4 linked regions of the Saccharomyces cerevisiae S288C genome follow. Changing the gene in region 1 together with any one later gene gives a genetic interaction. Each region holds a gene or a part of one and is shown on either strand. Other genes may lie near its edges.

The links.
Region 2: mutations in ACH1 (region 1) and CIT1 together harm fitness more than expected from each alone (negative genetic interaction), as found in Saccharomyces cerevisiae (3 studies listed by BioGRID).
Region 3: mutations in ACH1 (region 1) and AIM22 together harm fitness more than expected from each alone (negative genetic interaction), as found in Saccharomyces cerevisiae (2 studies listed by BioGRID).
Region 4: mutations in ACH1 (region 1) and MCT1 together harm fitness more than expected from each alone (negative genetic interaction), as found in Saccharomyces cerevisiae (3 studies listed by BioGRID).

The regions. Positions count from the first base shown.
Region 1 is NC_001134.8:192,263-196,246, reverse strand, and holds ACH1 (acetyl-CoA hydrolase), read right to left. Parts: upstream 2,126-3,984; coding exon 545-2,125; downstream 1-544. Other genes in the region: mitogen-activated serine/threonine-protein kinase FUS3, read right to left, coding at 2,735-3,796. UniProt on the Saccharomyces cerevisiae protein: Presumably involved in regulating the intracellular acetyl-CoA pool for fatty acid and cholesterol synthesis and fatty acid oxidation. It may be involved in overall regulation of acetylation during melatonin synthesis.
Region 2 is NC_001146.8:629,120-633,106, forward strand, and holds CIT1 (citrate (Si)-synthase CIT1), read right to left. Parts: upstream 1,943-3,987; coding exon 503-1,942; downstream 1-502. Other genes in the region: putative ammonium permease ATO2, read right to left, coding at 3,889-3,987. UniProt on the Saccharomyces cerevisiae protein: Specific citrate synthase with catalytic activity only with acetyl-CoA.
Region 3 is NC_001142.9:350,527-354,154, forward strand, and holds AIM22 (putative lipoate--protein ligase), read left to right. Parts: upstream 1-1,859; coding exon 1,860-3,089; downstream 3,090-3,628. Other genes in the region: cullin RTT101, read right to left, coding at 1-1,582. UniProt on the Saccharomyces cerevisiae protein: Catalyzes both the ATP-dependent activation of exogenously supplied lipoate to lipoyl-AMP and the transfer of the activated lipoyl onto the lipoyl domains of lipoate-dependent enzymes.
Region 4 is NC_001147.6:755,953-759,202, forward strand, and holds MCT1 ([acyl-carrier-protein] S-malonyltransferase), read right to left. Parts: upstream 1,607-3,250; coding exon 524-1,606; downstream 1-523. Other genes in the region: RCN2 (Rcn2p), read left to right, coding at 1-173; ODC2 (mitochondrial 2-oxodicarboxylate carrier), read left to right, coding at 2,378-3,250. UniProt on the Saccharomyces cerevisiae protein: Involved in biosynthesis of fatty acids in mitochondria.

The sequences.
Region 1 (3,984 bases):
GGTGAGAAGAAAAAAGCGATGATCCTTGCCTTCAAGCGCGCGCAAACAATAACCACTTATTAGCTTGAAGCTAAATTGCGGAGAAGGCTGTTCACAAACATGGATTCCAATATTAATTCCATAATAGGAGAAAAAAAATCATTGTAAGGTATACATGCATCATTACAGATAAGTTGGGCGGTTCAGAGCTTGGTTTTGTATTACCCTGGCATTTTTACATTGACCTAAGCAAGAGAACTACCCTGACGTCATCAGCGAAATTCGTTGAAATTAATATAAGGGTTGATGACTTTCAACCTCTTAGTTTTTTTTACTAATCACTACTTAATACATAATTATTGTGTAAACATATAAATATACAGTACTACCTGTGAATTAACTAGACGTCATGCGTATTGATTAACTCCCTCCATGAGCGCAAAAAGTATAAATATGCAAGAAAAAACAACGCATTGGATAAAAGCTTTATAAACATAAAATCATAATCATATCATTTCCTTTCTTTTTTTTGTTAAATACTCATCTCTCGGTTTGCGCACAAACACTAGTCAACTGGTTCCCAGCTGTCGACCTTCATTGTACCCTTTTCAGCTAAGTTGGTGTGGAACTTGAAAGCATTCTTTAGCATGTGTGGTTCATGCAAGCAATTGTGCTTTTTAGCGTAATGCTCTGCTCTGTCCAAGTAATCGGTCAACAAAGCTTGATAATCGGGATGAGCACACTTGTTGATGATTTCACGGGCTCTTTCCTTAGGCGATAGACCTCTTAGATCCGCCAAACCTTGGTCAGTGACCAAGATGTCCAGGTCATGCTCAGTTTGATCTACATGAGAGGCCATAGGAACAATGGTAGAGATACCGGTAGGGTCTACTTTAGTTGGTCTTGCAGAGGGGGCATGCATGATGGACAACTTTGCATTTCTCAAGAAATCAGCAGATCCACCCAACCCGTTCAACATACGGGAACCATTCACATTTGTAGAATTGGCGTGCGCGTAAATGTCAACTTCTACTGGGGTATTCATGGCGATGACACCCAATCTACGGATCATTTCCGGATTGTTCGAGACAACTTGAGATCTCAAACACAATCTGTGTTTGAAATTTTCCCAGTTTGCAAAGGCTCTGTCGAAACCCTTTTCAGTCAATCTCACGGAAGTAGCAGTGGCGTAGTCCAAAGATCCGTTCTCGAAAAGATCCAAGAACGAGTCCTGCAGCACTTCCGTCCATACAGTCAAGTGCTTGAATTGGGCGCCAGCAAGCCCTTCAATGACAGCGTTAGCAATGTTACCTATACCACTTTGTAAAGGCAGCAGGTTTTCAGGTAGCCTACCATGTTTTACCTCGTTTCTGAAAAACTCGACCAAATGACCTGCAATAGCCCTGGACATGTCGTCAGAGGGCGTATTTGGTGGGACCTGGTCCCTCATGGTGGACTCCACAATCGCAACAACCTTTTCAGGATCAACCGGGATGGAGTCAACACCACACTTGTCGTCCACTTTCAGATATGGGTATGGTTTCCTGAAAGGTGGGTTCACGGGCATGTCTATATCGTGAATACCCTCGAACGAAGGCGTAGCCGTGTTAACCTCAATAATCACTTTATCACTGACTGTAATGAATTCTGGAGAACCACCGACAGAGGGACCTGGGACGATAGACCCGTCCTCTTTAATGGCCGTTGCCTCGATTATAGTATAATCAAGGATTTTGTTGTCTTTTCTTTCCCTGGTGTAGAACCCGTATGTCAGATCCTGAGGGAACATGGACAGATGTTTATCAAAGAACTCAATTCTACCCTGGTTAATTGCCTTTGCAATGGGTTTCCCTACTTGATGAGGGGCTCTCTTAATGATCATGTCGTGTTCAGCCCAACGGTTTTCCTCTGGACCAGCAGAAGCTCCAACAAAAAGGTTGAATCTCAACTTCCCTTGTAAATTGTTCTTCTCCACGTGATCTATCAGTGCCTCCGGCACTGCCTTGGGAGTACCCACTCCTGTAAAACCGGACCACCCAAGGTACTGACCATTCTTGAACAATGGAATAAGCTCGTGAGCTTCCTTAACTTTTTTCAGATAGGGAGCATACCTAACTCTCTGCTTTAACAAATTAGAAATTGTCATTTTAGTGCAATATGTGAAAAAGAAAAAAAGAAATGTGTTGTTTGTTTTGCCGCTATTGTCTAGTAAGACGGTCTCTTGCTGCTTTGTGTGCTAATGTAAGCCCGGTGGGCACAAGACAAAAGAAGGGGTAGAACACATCTAACGTCTATATATACACAGCAACTTGATTACACATTTGCTCCAGCAAGCGCTTACCGTCCACAATACAGTGGTCATCCATACAATCACTACTTTGGTAGTTTGACGCTCCGATGGGATTGGCTGTTGCGGATGTGGTTGAGGGCGTTGTCCTCGAGGCCAATCAGCAGCGCGCATTGCCCGCCTTTGGCCCGGCGGGCCGCGCGTCGCAGGGGATGATGCTAGTCACCTATATGGATCACCCCTTGTGGTTCTTCATTTTTTTTTTCTTCAATTAACAGCCGCCGACGGCCCGTGGCGCGCGATCACGGAGTTGCGTAACTGCTCCCCTTAGCTCCATATAAGTATTGTCCTTTTATACGTCCGCGTCCTCAGCGGCTAATACGTATGTCATATGTACATATGTATATGTGTACGTATATGTATATGTATACATTGTTCTTCGGGTTGATATTTTAATGATAATGATGGCTAACTAAATATTTCGTTCCAAATGAGTTTCTTGAGGTCTTTCGTCGTTAGTGCCTCCTTGTAGTGATCAAACTCGAAGAAGCTGGGTGGGATGGGTTCGCCTTCAGGTTCGTCGTTTGGATCGTGGTATGTTTGCAAATACGGATGCTCCAGTGCCTCCTTAGCAGTAATCCTCTTCGCAGGGTCAAAAACAAGCATACGCTGTAAAAGATCTATGCCTTTCGGGTTGACTCGAGGGAACATCTTCTCCAGTGGCGCGGCAGGGTACATGGGAAGCGACTTTATGTACTCTCTAGCCCTGGGTGACTCTATACACCGCAAATCATTATCTGAGTGAGGTGTACCGATGATACCGAATATCAGTAGTAGTTGATGGCGATAATCTCTGCCAGGGAAGATTGGCCGTCTTAAGAAAAGTTCAGCGAGAATACATCCGCAGGACCACACGTCCATGGCCCTTGAGTATTTGGCAGAGGTTAACATCACCTCTGGCGCCCTGTACCAACGTGTGGCCACATACTCGGTCATGCCGCTTTGCTGACCTGTGGGCTCTGAATTGTCCGCGGCTGACTCGTCAATGATTCTTGCTAAACCGAAATCACATACTTTCAAGTCACAGTTGGAGTTTATGAGAAGGTTGGAGGGCTTTAAATCACGATGGATGACGTTCGAACCATGCAGCACTTTCACTGCTCTCAAGGTTTGGTATATAAAATATTGTATATGATCGTCACTCAGCATCTGGGTGGAGATTACACGGTGTAAATCTGTCTGCATTAGCTCTTGAATTATGTAGACCTCATTGAAGTTTTCGAACGAGTCAGGGCGTTGAATGTTGAAGATTGTTATGATATTTTCGTGCTTGAAGTGCTTCAGGATCTTTATTTCACGCAGCGTACGTAATGCGAACAAAGGCTTATCGAATGGTTCGATCTTTTTTATTGCCACGATTTCTCCCGTGGGCTTATGCGTTGCAGAACATACCACACCGTATGCACCCTCTCCCAGTAACGACTTCAACTGGAAGTCACTGGATATATTGTATACAATTCTCTTTGGCATATTATTTTCCTTTCTTTTTCTCTGCCTTATTTCCTTGTAGTTCAAACGAACTAGCTATTAGAAGAAAGAAAATGATTACAACGTATATATAGTTTCTGAGAGGCAAGAGTAAAAAGTTATGATATATTAGTATGTTGCTTTTCTGCAATTGTTTCAATGCCCTGTAAAAAACCGCATCATCTAAAATC
Region 2 (3,987 bases), on another chromosome or scaffold:
AAGTGACATTTATCTTGAGGTAAGAACAGAAGAAAAAAAGGAAAAAGAGAAAATTTTATGAGATTGCTTTTTTCACATGACCATATTATATTCGCTTTATCAACTTTTTAGTGTATCTTCTACTCTAGGACAGATAAAGATGCATTAACCTTGTCATTTTGCTTCTTCTGCAGGTTCATATACATATAAACGTTAGTTACACCTTGACGTAGTATATCGACTACAGGCTAGATTTTACTGCTAAATCAGCGCGCCAGCCCACCACAATTCGATTTGAAAGCGCTTTGCAGGAATTTAAGAGCATTTTGTTTTCTATTCATTGATATCATTTGCCAAGTATATAACATAACCGGTAGGCATAGGGGACTCAAAGCGTAAAAATCATGAAGTCATAGCCATTTCCTTATGTAATATATATTTATATAAATTATAAACTACTCATTCGTATATGAAAATACGTGTTTGAATAGTCGCATACCCTGAATCAAAAATCAAATTTTCCTTAGTTCTTACTTTCGATTTTCTTTACCAACTCCTTGTATTTTTCGGTGGAGAATGATTTTGGCCTTTCGATTGGAGCACCAACAGCCCTATCGATGATTAATTGGGGTAACACACCAATAGCTCTGGCAACACCAAACAATACAGTGTAGAACGAAGCCTCAGTTAGACCATAGTATTGCAATAAAACACCGGAATGTGAATCAACATTTGGCCATGGGTTCTTAGTTTTACCATGCTTAGTTAAAACCCCTGGGGCAACTTCATAAATGGTGGAGACCAACTTAAATAACTCGTAATCTGGGAAATGTTTCAATGCGAATTCACGTTGAGCCGTATAACGAGGATCAGTTTTTCTCAAAACCGCATGGCCATAACCAGGAACAACTCTCCCTGCGTTCAAAGTATCCCACAAGTACTTTTCAATTGTTTCTTTTGAATAGTCACCTTTCACTTCTTCTCTCAATTTAAATAGCCATTCTAAAACTTCTTGATTGGCACGACCATGTAATGGGCCAGCTAAACCATTCAAACCAGCGGCCAAAGATAAGTATGGCGAAGATAAGGCAGAACCCACTAAATGTGTAGTATGGGCAGAAACGTTACCACCTTCATGATCAGAATGAATAGTTAAATATAGTCTCATTAAGTCAATAAAATCCTTGTTTTCGTAGCCCAAAAGTTGGGCCAAATTTTTACCATAGTCAGCATTAGGATCGGTTGAAGTAATTTTACCATCCTTGAACACATTACGATAAATTTTGGAAGCAATAACAGGTAATTTACCCAGCAGATCTAACGAATCTTCAAATGTATAGCTCCAATATTCTTTCTTGGATACACCTTGAGCATATGCTTTGGCAAACTTAGACTCGCTTTCTAAAGCAGTCACGGCAATAGAAAATTGCGCCATTGGATGTAGATCTTTTGGGAGGCTATCTAAAAGTTGGATAACGTGCTCTGGAATTTCTGATCTGGCAGCTAAATCAGCAGAAAGGGCTTTAACTTGAGCGTCAGTAGGTATTTCACCAGTCAAAAGCAACCAAAATAAAGCTTCTGGCAAAGGTTCTGTACTACCCTCAGCCTTTGGTAGTTCCCTTTGAATTTCTGGAATAGTACGACCCCTAAATCTAATACCTTCTTCGGGGTCTAACACGGAACCTTCCCAAACAAGGCCTTTAATACCTCTCATACCACCATAAGCTTGCTCCAAAAGAACTTCACCAATAACGGTTTTACCGTGTTCTTTCTTGAATTTTTTAATTTCTTCTGCCTTTGCTGGGATAATTTCAGCAAATCTCTCCTTCAACGTTTGTTCGGAGGCGCTACTATAGTGGCGAGCATTCAATAGTGCAAAAAGAGCCTTTTGCATATTTTGACATTGTCTTGTGGAGCCCCTTGATAAGAAACTTTTGCTAGTTGTTGATAATATCGCTGACATCTTCGTAAATAGTATTATATTGCTATATGTTTTGCCTTATTTTCTTTTTAATGGTTGTAATTGTAATTACTTAAATGCAAATAAAAGCCAAAACAAACCTGGTTTGTATTTTAGTAAACAGCAAATTTCCCCCTTAAGACTAGCAATCCATAACAGGGGAAGGGTAAAGAATAGTTGCTGCAAGTTTTGAGCATTTATATAATGGATGGATATCAATTGACATTTTCAAACAACAAGAGGTCGGATAAGTCGATAGTATCGGAAAAGCTCCAAAGGGATTGCGATCCTCCAATAACACAAAAGTATTTTTGGTCTAGCGGGGGTCATACTTTTCATTTCCGGGCGGCTGCGGCGGAAAAAAACGTGACGCCTTTTAGCACAAAAATGCAAGGTAAATACATAAAAAAAAAGGCAATGTGAACGTAAAAACGCTCATATTTACAAAGATTAATTGAGCCGTTCAATGAAATGCGAACTTCGGAGATTTCTTTAATTAGTTTAGGTATACTTTCCTGCGAAGGTCTTGTTGGAATATGTAGTAATCTCTACCCGCGTTTTTAGTTAATGCTGAATGGTTTTTGATGGCTCCTTTTTTCTTAGAGTGACAGGCGCGGCAGCCCCTTAACGCGGGTACCTGAACAAGTAAATCCGAAAATTCAATTTGACAAGGGAATCATTGGGCTGACAACAATAAGATGAGCTCTCTTATATTTTTGCCCAGGGAAAAATTTTTTGCCCACTAAAGATATGCAATATTAAAAAATTTGATAAAAATAAATCAATGGGGGCGAGCCGGGACTCGAACCCGGGACCTCCCGCACCCTAAGCGAGAATCATACCTCTAGACCACACGCCCGGTAGAAGTTGTTTTAATGAATTTCAAAATATGGTACCTCAACATCAATAGATCATCAACCACAACGTAAAACATGCATGTGAGGCTTAGGTGATTTTTGAGATAATTGTTGGGATTCCATTGTTGAAAAAGGCTATAATATTAGGTATACAGAATATACTAGAAGTTCTCCTCGAGGATCTAGGAATCCTCATATTCCTCTGTTGATAATTAGAGGTTAAAAATTAGTATTAATGAAGAAATAAGTACTGATCTTCTTATACTAAATAAGAGATGTATATAAAACACACGCTGATTGGTCATATTAATCATGACCAATATAATAGTGATTCCGGTAGTTACTAAACATTGATGTGACGACTCATATTCCTCATATATGTACCTACCATAACATGTTCAACTAATAGGTCTTTAACACAGCTTCAGTATTGTCTGAGCTTCTCGTTTAACATTCCTTCTGCAATAGGCGCAATCACACTTAAACGTATACGAGGTGTACATTAATATACGATGTAAGCATTAGATTGTTACCATAGCAACTCATGTCACTATTAATTACTCTCGTTCCAACAAAACAATTCTTAAAAATTCACCAATTTAGCTTCATGGCAAGGCTTACAGATGATTAAAATCGTGTAGATCATGGAAATCGAACCTTTCACGTTCTGCAGAATTTAAAGTGACTCCATGGCCAAGTTGGTTAAGGCGTGCGACTGTTAATCGCAAGATCGTGAGTTCAACCCTCACTGGGGTCGTTTTTTTTCTTATTTCAGATAGTCTTGTCGGTAGCAAACAGTCAAATCGCTATCACTTACATGTGATATCATTTCTGTACTGCTTATGCACTATGAAGTGCGGTTTCTTTTTTATGCGATATTACATGTGTCAATAGCAAAAGGGGTAAACCGTGCTCCTATACAACAAGAACAATAGTTCGGAAATGCATGAGAACAGTGTTGTTTTATAAAGGATTCTATGTGAAATAAAACAAAGGCCGATTTGTTCGACATTTGCTGGGCTTTTCATAAATAATGGATCATAAGAATATATAATAGGGGTAAAAGTTATTTTAGCCTGCACTTTTGTGTTTTTAGAAGAACACCTTATCATTGCTAGGTAATGCGAATGGATGGACCATAATGTACGAGTTTTGTCTTGTGGCAATACCTGCGTAAGCGTTGTACCAGGC
Region 3 (3,628 bases), on another chromosome or scaffold:
CATTTGTTATGATTCTTTGTTTGAAAAGTTCCATGAGGCTGTCTTTGTAAACAGGTAATATATCCTTAATAAATGAGGAATTTTGATCACTTTGTAAGATCGTCTTTCTGAAAATTGATCTTTCGAAAAAATTAGGAAATGTGGGAAGGTTAACGAACTTCAGTCTCAATATAGGAAGATTTTCGTTGAGATACTTTATTTTCATATCTCTGGGTAGGTCTTTTTTAGTTGTTTTTATCTTTCTGACGATGATGAATAAATGTGACTCAAAATATTTGACATACTGTTCTATGGCTTTGCTGGTACTTCCAAGTAAATTACATAAATGGTACTCGATGGAATCGGAGTATATTTTGAGGTGATCTACATTAGCTAGCTGAACTACCTCATCAAATAGCCTTTCAGTATCATGATTGGATCCATATGCTGCCTTTAACTTTTCTGAAACGGCATCATCACAGAATTCCTTGAATTTTGACAGCATATTTTTTGCTTCAAAAGCATTTCTAAACATCAATAAGCTAAAGTGTGTCTCAGTTTTGAAATATCTCTCTTTTTCTTCATCATAAGTGTCCTTCCCAATTTCTATGTATTCGCTAATAGACTTCTTGTTCAACAGTAGATGGCTTATAAATAGGTCATTTGCATCGCTGACCCATTCAGGGGAAAATAAAGATGCTAATAATGCATTCCTCGTCAATAGTACCTTAAAATTCTTGAAAGTTTCCAGCCTCGGCCTTAAATTTGATTCCTCACAGTAATATTGTCTGAGAGTTTTCATATAAAAATCTTTGGGGCTCAAGCCCTCTATACTAAAATTGCAGTTAGACATTATACGGAGCATAGGAACTTCCTTCTCTAACATTGTATTCGTTATTGGAAACATATGAATATAGTGATGAATAGTAGCGCTTACAAGGGTGGAAAATTCCCTTCCAAAATGTGACTTCATACATTCGAAAAGTTTGGAATCATAATACTGAAATATCGTTAAGGTCTCAAATCCTAGTTCTTTTCTTATCATGGGATAATTTACCGGCACATACGATATAATAGGACCAACGGCACCCATTACGTACTGAAATAGCTTGTAAAAAGAGGTCCAATTTTTGGGTATAATTTCATAAGAATAGTCGCATCTGGTCAAAAAGCTAAGGACGTGCGCGTCAATTATTAACTTTGCCAATTCATCACAAAATTCTTGAAAACTCAGCACAATTTGGTGTTGATGTAGCAGCTGAAACTTCTTTTGCTTTTCGTCATTCCCATTAAATTCTGAGTTGTAAGGAATGTATGATTTCCTTTGCGTTAATTCACGGCAATTGTTCAACATCTTAGGCATTAGCTTTCTAAATTTAGCGGCCTTTTCTTTATTACACTCCAATTCTTTCACGTCAGTTTCAGTTATAGTTTCAGCTAAAGTAAGGTGAAAAAACTCGTGCAGCTCAGCAATCATCGTTCGATACCTGGGATTTCGCTCATCGTTAAATTTATTGTATAGTCCTAAAGCGTTGCTTGCACTCGTCTCTCTGCTTATAGACTCGTGGAATCCTTCTCTCTTGGAAACGCTCTCATTTATCATTGTTCCTGTGAACCCGTACGAGAATTTATACCAGTAAAAAAGATTGGTGGGTTTAATATCTTGAGGATTCCTTCAAAGTAGTCTTTTAGTGCAAAGATATCGATGATCTTCATTCGCATTGTTCATATTCATCATTACGCAAAGGATAGCTATGCGTTCCGCTTCGTCATACTTAATCAGGAATATTGAACATCCAAAAATCTCCGAGCTCACGTATGTAGAATTTTTGATGAATACAAAAGAAGAAAACACTAGACTTTTCTTTGATGTTTACATTATGTCTATGATGCTAAGTAATTGGGCACTCTCCCCTCGATATGTGGGACAGCGAAACCTCATACATTGCACCACTTTATTTCACACACTTACACGATGGGCAAAAGACGCAGACGATAAATATCATGATATAAACTCAATGTATGAAAACATGTTTACACCTTCAAATGATAACGTTTCAATTTTGCAGGATGAAGGTAAATCTGATTATGATACGACGAAGGCCAGCTCTATGGAAGAAGATATCAGTGCTTTTAATAAAGACTTGTACAATTTCTATAATATTGGATATGCCAAACAGATCATGTCTGCTTCACAATTGGAAAATATAGTAAAGGCAAAGGGCAGATTTGTTATACAAAGTTTATCCACCAGTCCTTATTATAATTTGGCCCTTGAAAACTATGTTTTCAAGAATACACCAAGAGCCAAAAGAGGTCCCGATAATTGCAGACTGTTATTTTACATCAATGATAGGTGCGCCGTTATAGGCAAAAACCAAAATCTGTGGCAGGAAGTAGATCTTGCTAAGCTGAAGAGTAAGAATTTCGAACTACTTAGAAGATTTTCTGGAGGTGGCACTGTACTGCATGATTTGGGCAATGTTAATTATTCATATTTAACATCAAGGGAGAAATTCGAAACAAAGTTTTTCAACAAAATGATAATTAAGTGGTTAAATTCATTGAATCCCGAACTAAGACTAGATTTGAATGAGAGAGGAGATATTATTCAGGACGGGTTTAAAATTAGTGGCAGTGCTTATAAAATTGCCGGTGGCAAAGCATACCATCATGCAACGATGTTGCTTAATGCGGATTTAGAACAGTTTAGCGGCTTATTAGAACCCTCACTACCGAACAATATGGAATGGGAGTCAAGTGGAGTTCATAGTGTAAAATCAAAAATCAAAAATGTTGGTATAATTACTCCTAATCAGTTCATTGCAGTGGTATCCGAGCGTTTTCAGAAAACATTCAAAGTTGACGGCGAAATACCTATATATTACTGTGACGAGTTTAAATCTATAAACGATGAGATTAAAGATGCTATGAACACCTTACAGAGCGAACAATGGAAATATTTCTCGGGGCCTAAATTTTCAGTGAAGATTAAAGATAAAGGCTTAACAATTAAAGTCGAAAAGGGCATGATTTATGATTGTGATAGAAATGATTTAATCGGCTTGGAATTCAAAGGATTTTTGGAGAATATTGACAGTTACACATAACGTTGATGAATATTTCAATTCACTTGTAAATAACGTAGGTAAATATCAAAATTAAAGTCTTTCACCGGAAACTGATTCAGCATATTTCAGCAGACGCGTCCTAGATTCACAGCAAACTTCAATATAAGCGATACATTAGGAGTGTTCGTACTTTAGATCTATAAGAACTATATTTTGTTACGATTCAGCCGTCTCTAAATGTGAACTAAATATTTATACTGTTATTTGAGAAACCGACAGATAGTACTTAATTTTATCGATCATCTAAGAATAGCATCGGTATTGTGGTGACATTTATTGAATTTCTTCCGCTCCAGAATAAAGTTCCTTTTCACTTCAAAAAACTGCCACCAGTAAAGTTGCACCAGTGGTTTTTGAGCATTTTTTGTCAATGTCGCTTAACCGTTCTTGAACTGTATCCTCTTGACGTCGATAAAATCATTTGTAAAAACCAGGCCAAATCATCATTGAATAATTTACACTGTGTCTTCAATGTCGCCATTTGGACCAATAATTATCAAACTGTTCACAATTCACTC
Region 4 (3,250 bases), on another chromosome or scaffold:
AGGATAAGTCAGCGTCAGGCACCAAATGCCTTTTCGCCTCTAAGCCACTAGGATTGACCATTGATACTTCTACTAGAAGTAATGCTGCATCGTGTACCGAAAATGATGTAAACGCTACTGCCTCAAATCCTCCAAAAAGTCCAAGCATAACGGTTAACGAGTTTTTCCATTAGAGCACTAGAGCATAACTAATACTATAAATTAGACAAAGCAGAAAAAGGGAAAAAGGTTCATGCTATGATAATGTAAAGAATATGCGTAGAGATATCTATATATCCATTTATACGTTTATATACTTGCGTGTTTACTTTGTATGGCATAATAACATGTATGTTTGCATTAGGGATTTGTTTTAGTGTATCCAAGAGCGATTAGTATAGAAGGAATGTATGTATGTGTATACGATATTTATATAAAGGGAAGTTGGCTAATTTTTTGCACACTTTCGTCCTCTTTCCATTTTCAATGAATGCGTAGAAGCACAGACTGGGAGTGGAGAGAGTTCGCAGTTTTGATCTCTTTCTCAATCTTTGTTCTCCTCTGCCGCCTTGTGATAAGCGTCTATAGTTGCTAAAGAGGTGTATTCTATAGTGTCCACTTGGGGACAATTTCTCCGAATAAGGTTATAAATCACATTGCCCGGGCCAAAGCAAATACTCTTATCAATTTCCACTGGGGTTCCAGAGTTTATGGTATCATAACACATGGTGAATTGCACAGTCCTGCTTGAACACTTAACGAATCTATCTAGGGCATGATGAATATAGTAAGATATATTACCATCTAAGTTAGCTATTATTGGATGGTTCAACTCCATCAACGTGTGAGTTCCGTTTTTCTTTAATATATCCCAAATGTAGTCATAGAGTGGTTCCTGAACGGGCCTCAACACAGTGCTATTATGGAAGGGGATGTTGTATGGGTTAGTTAATTCTGTAATTCTTAAACGCGGGAACCTTAAGTTCAATTCTGTTCTTAAGGACTCTAAATCATCAACCAGACCGGTGACTACACATTGCTTTACTGAATTTGCATTTGCTACAGAAATGGTATTTTGTGAAGATGATAATAAATTAGGGGAATTTAGTAGTTTTTGCACTTCTTGCGGTAAATCTGTGGCCCTCGGAGAAGAGAGTGCCCACATTTCAAATTTGTTGGATCTGTTGATATTGTGGGCTACTAAGTACTTTTCAGTAGATGTTACCATTAACTTATTTCTAAAATTAGCAATATCAAAAAGATCCTTTAACGAAAACAGTGAATTAACACTCAGACATGTTAACTCGCCTAGCGAGTGACCCAAAAGGTAACATTGTTCATTGTCTTTCTTGTCGGGGGAATCGATCTTAGTCATATTTTTTGGTGCTTGATCTTGAGGATCAGAAGGATTCGAGAGTATCTGGTACAATTGATAGAAAAGGTTGGAGCAGACTGCAATGCTTCCGGGGCTGGAAGGGTTCTGGAAGATGTACTGCAATAGATCATTTGATTCCTTGCCGTTCTGACTCAGTATTGTTTGGAATTCTCTTGATTTGTTTCTTATTATCGCTTTTAATATCGAAATGGAGATGGAGGTCCCTTGACCTGGGAAGGTTAGTAGCTTCATACAAACGCTTATATATGTGTACCACGATCAGAAAAGTGCAAAACGCTTTGTTACTACCCTCAGTGTACGTTATTGAATAGTTCTAATATGCAGCAAGTTACTGGTAAGCTTTGTTTTACCCTTGAGTTCGATACTCAGTTTACTTCCTCCATCGGAGGTTGAAATGCGCCTTGTCATACGGCCAAAAAATGCCATGTAAGAAGATGACACTTTCTGCATTTTGAGTATATTTAAGGGCCTATAATTTTCTTCCAACTTTCTCAAGACAAGCATATTGTGTACTTTCGGTTTAGCAAGCCTTTTTACTTCGTTAACACAAGGCGATGCTAACGTGTGTTTACTGTTTTAGAAGATCGGCATTTATCAAATGTAAGGACAATGAGACATGGTTGACCAATTAGTTCTTCTCAGATAGGAGTTCTAGTTCTTCTGCATACTACTTAGTCCTCTTCTGTCGTTGACATTCAATTGCTTGTGCATTTCTAACATGAAATAGTGGTACTACGAATGCTATTATTCTATGCCAGGCAAATTCCTCTGGAACTTTTTTTTTTTCAGTTTTTTCGTGGTGAGCTTTTTTTGCCTGTCTATCTCGAAAGATCTTGTTGTTGATGACTCAGTGCAGTCGCGATCACTTTCGACTCGACATGCATTTGCAAGTAATTCTGTTATAAAACGTTCTCTTCGTTTTTTCAGTCTGAAGCTCTTCTGCACTTTTTTACTGGGTTAGATTCTATATAGTCAAGTAATTCGAGGTAGCATCAAAGTAATATGTCATCAGACTCAAACGCAAAGCCATTGCCTTTTATATATCAGTTCATATCAGGTGCCGTCGCCGGTATTTCTGAGTTAACTGTTATGTATCCGCTTGATGTTGTTAAGACAAGATTTCAACTGGAGGTGACGACGCCTACTGCCGCTGCAGTAGGAAAGCAAGTAGAGAGATATAATGGTGTCATCGATTGTTTGAAAAAAATTGTAAAGAAGGAAGGGTTTAGCAGACTTTACAGAGGTATTAGTTCACCAATGTTGATGGAAGCACCAAAGAGAGCCACCAAATTTGCATGTAACGATCAATATCAAAAAATCTTCAAAAACCTATTCAACACGAATGAAACTACGCAGAAGATCTCCATTGCGGCTGGTGCATCTGCTGGTATGACAGAAGCTGCAGTTATTGTTCCATTTGAATTGATCAAAATCAGGATGCAAGACGTCAAGTCCAGCTATCTTGGACCAATGGACTGTTTGAAAAAAACAATCAAAAACGAAGGTATTATGGGGCTATACAAGGGTATCGAATCTACCATGTGGAGAAACGCTCTTTGGAATGGTGGCTACTTCGGTGTTATCTACCAAGTGAGAAATTCCATGCCCGTAGCAAAGACAAAGGGACAAAAGACCAGAAATGACCTTATTGCAGGTGCGATCGGTGGTACGGTCGGGACCATGCTTAACACTCCCTTTGACGTGGTGAAATCCAGAATCCAAAGTGTGGACGCGGTCAGCAGTGCTGTTAAAAAATACAACTGGTGCCTACCTTCGCTATTGGTCATATACCGTGAAGAAGGCTTCAGAGCATTGTACAAAGGTTTCGTCCCCAAAGTATGTAGACTAGCACCCGGTGGTTCATTAATGTTGGTG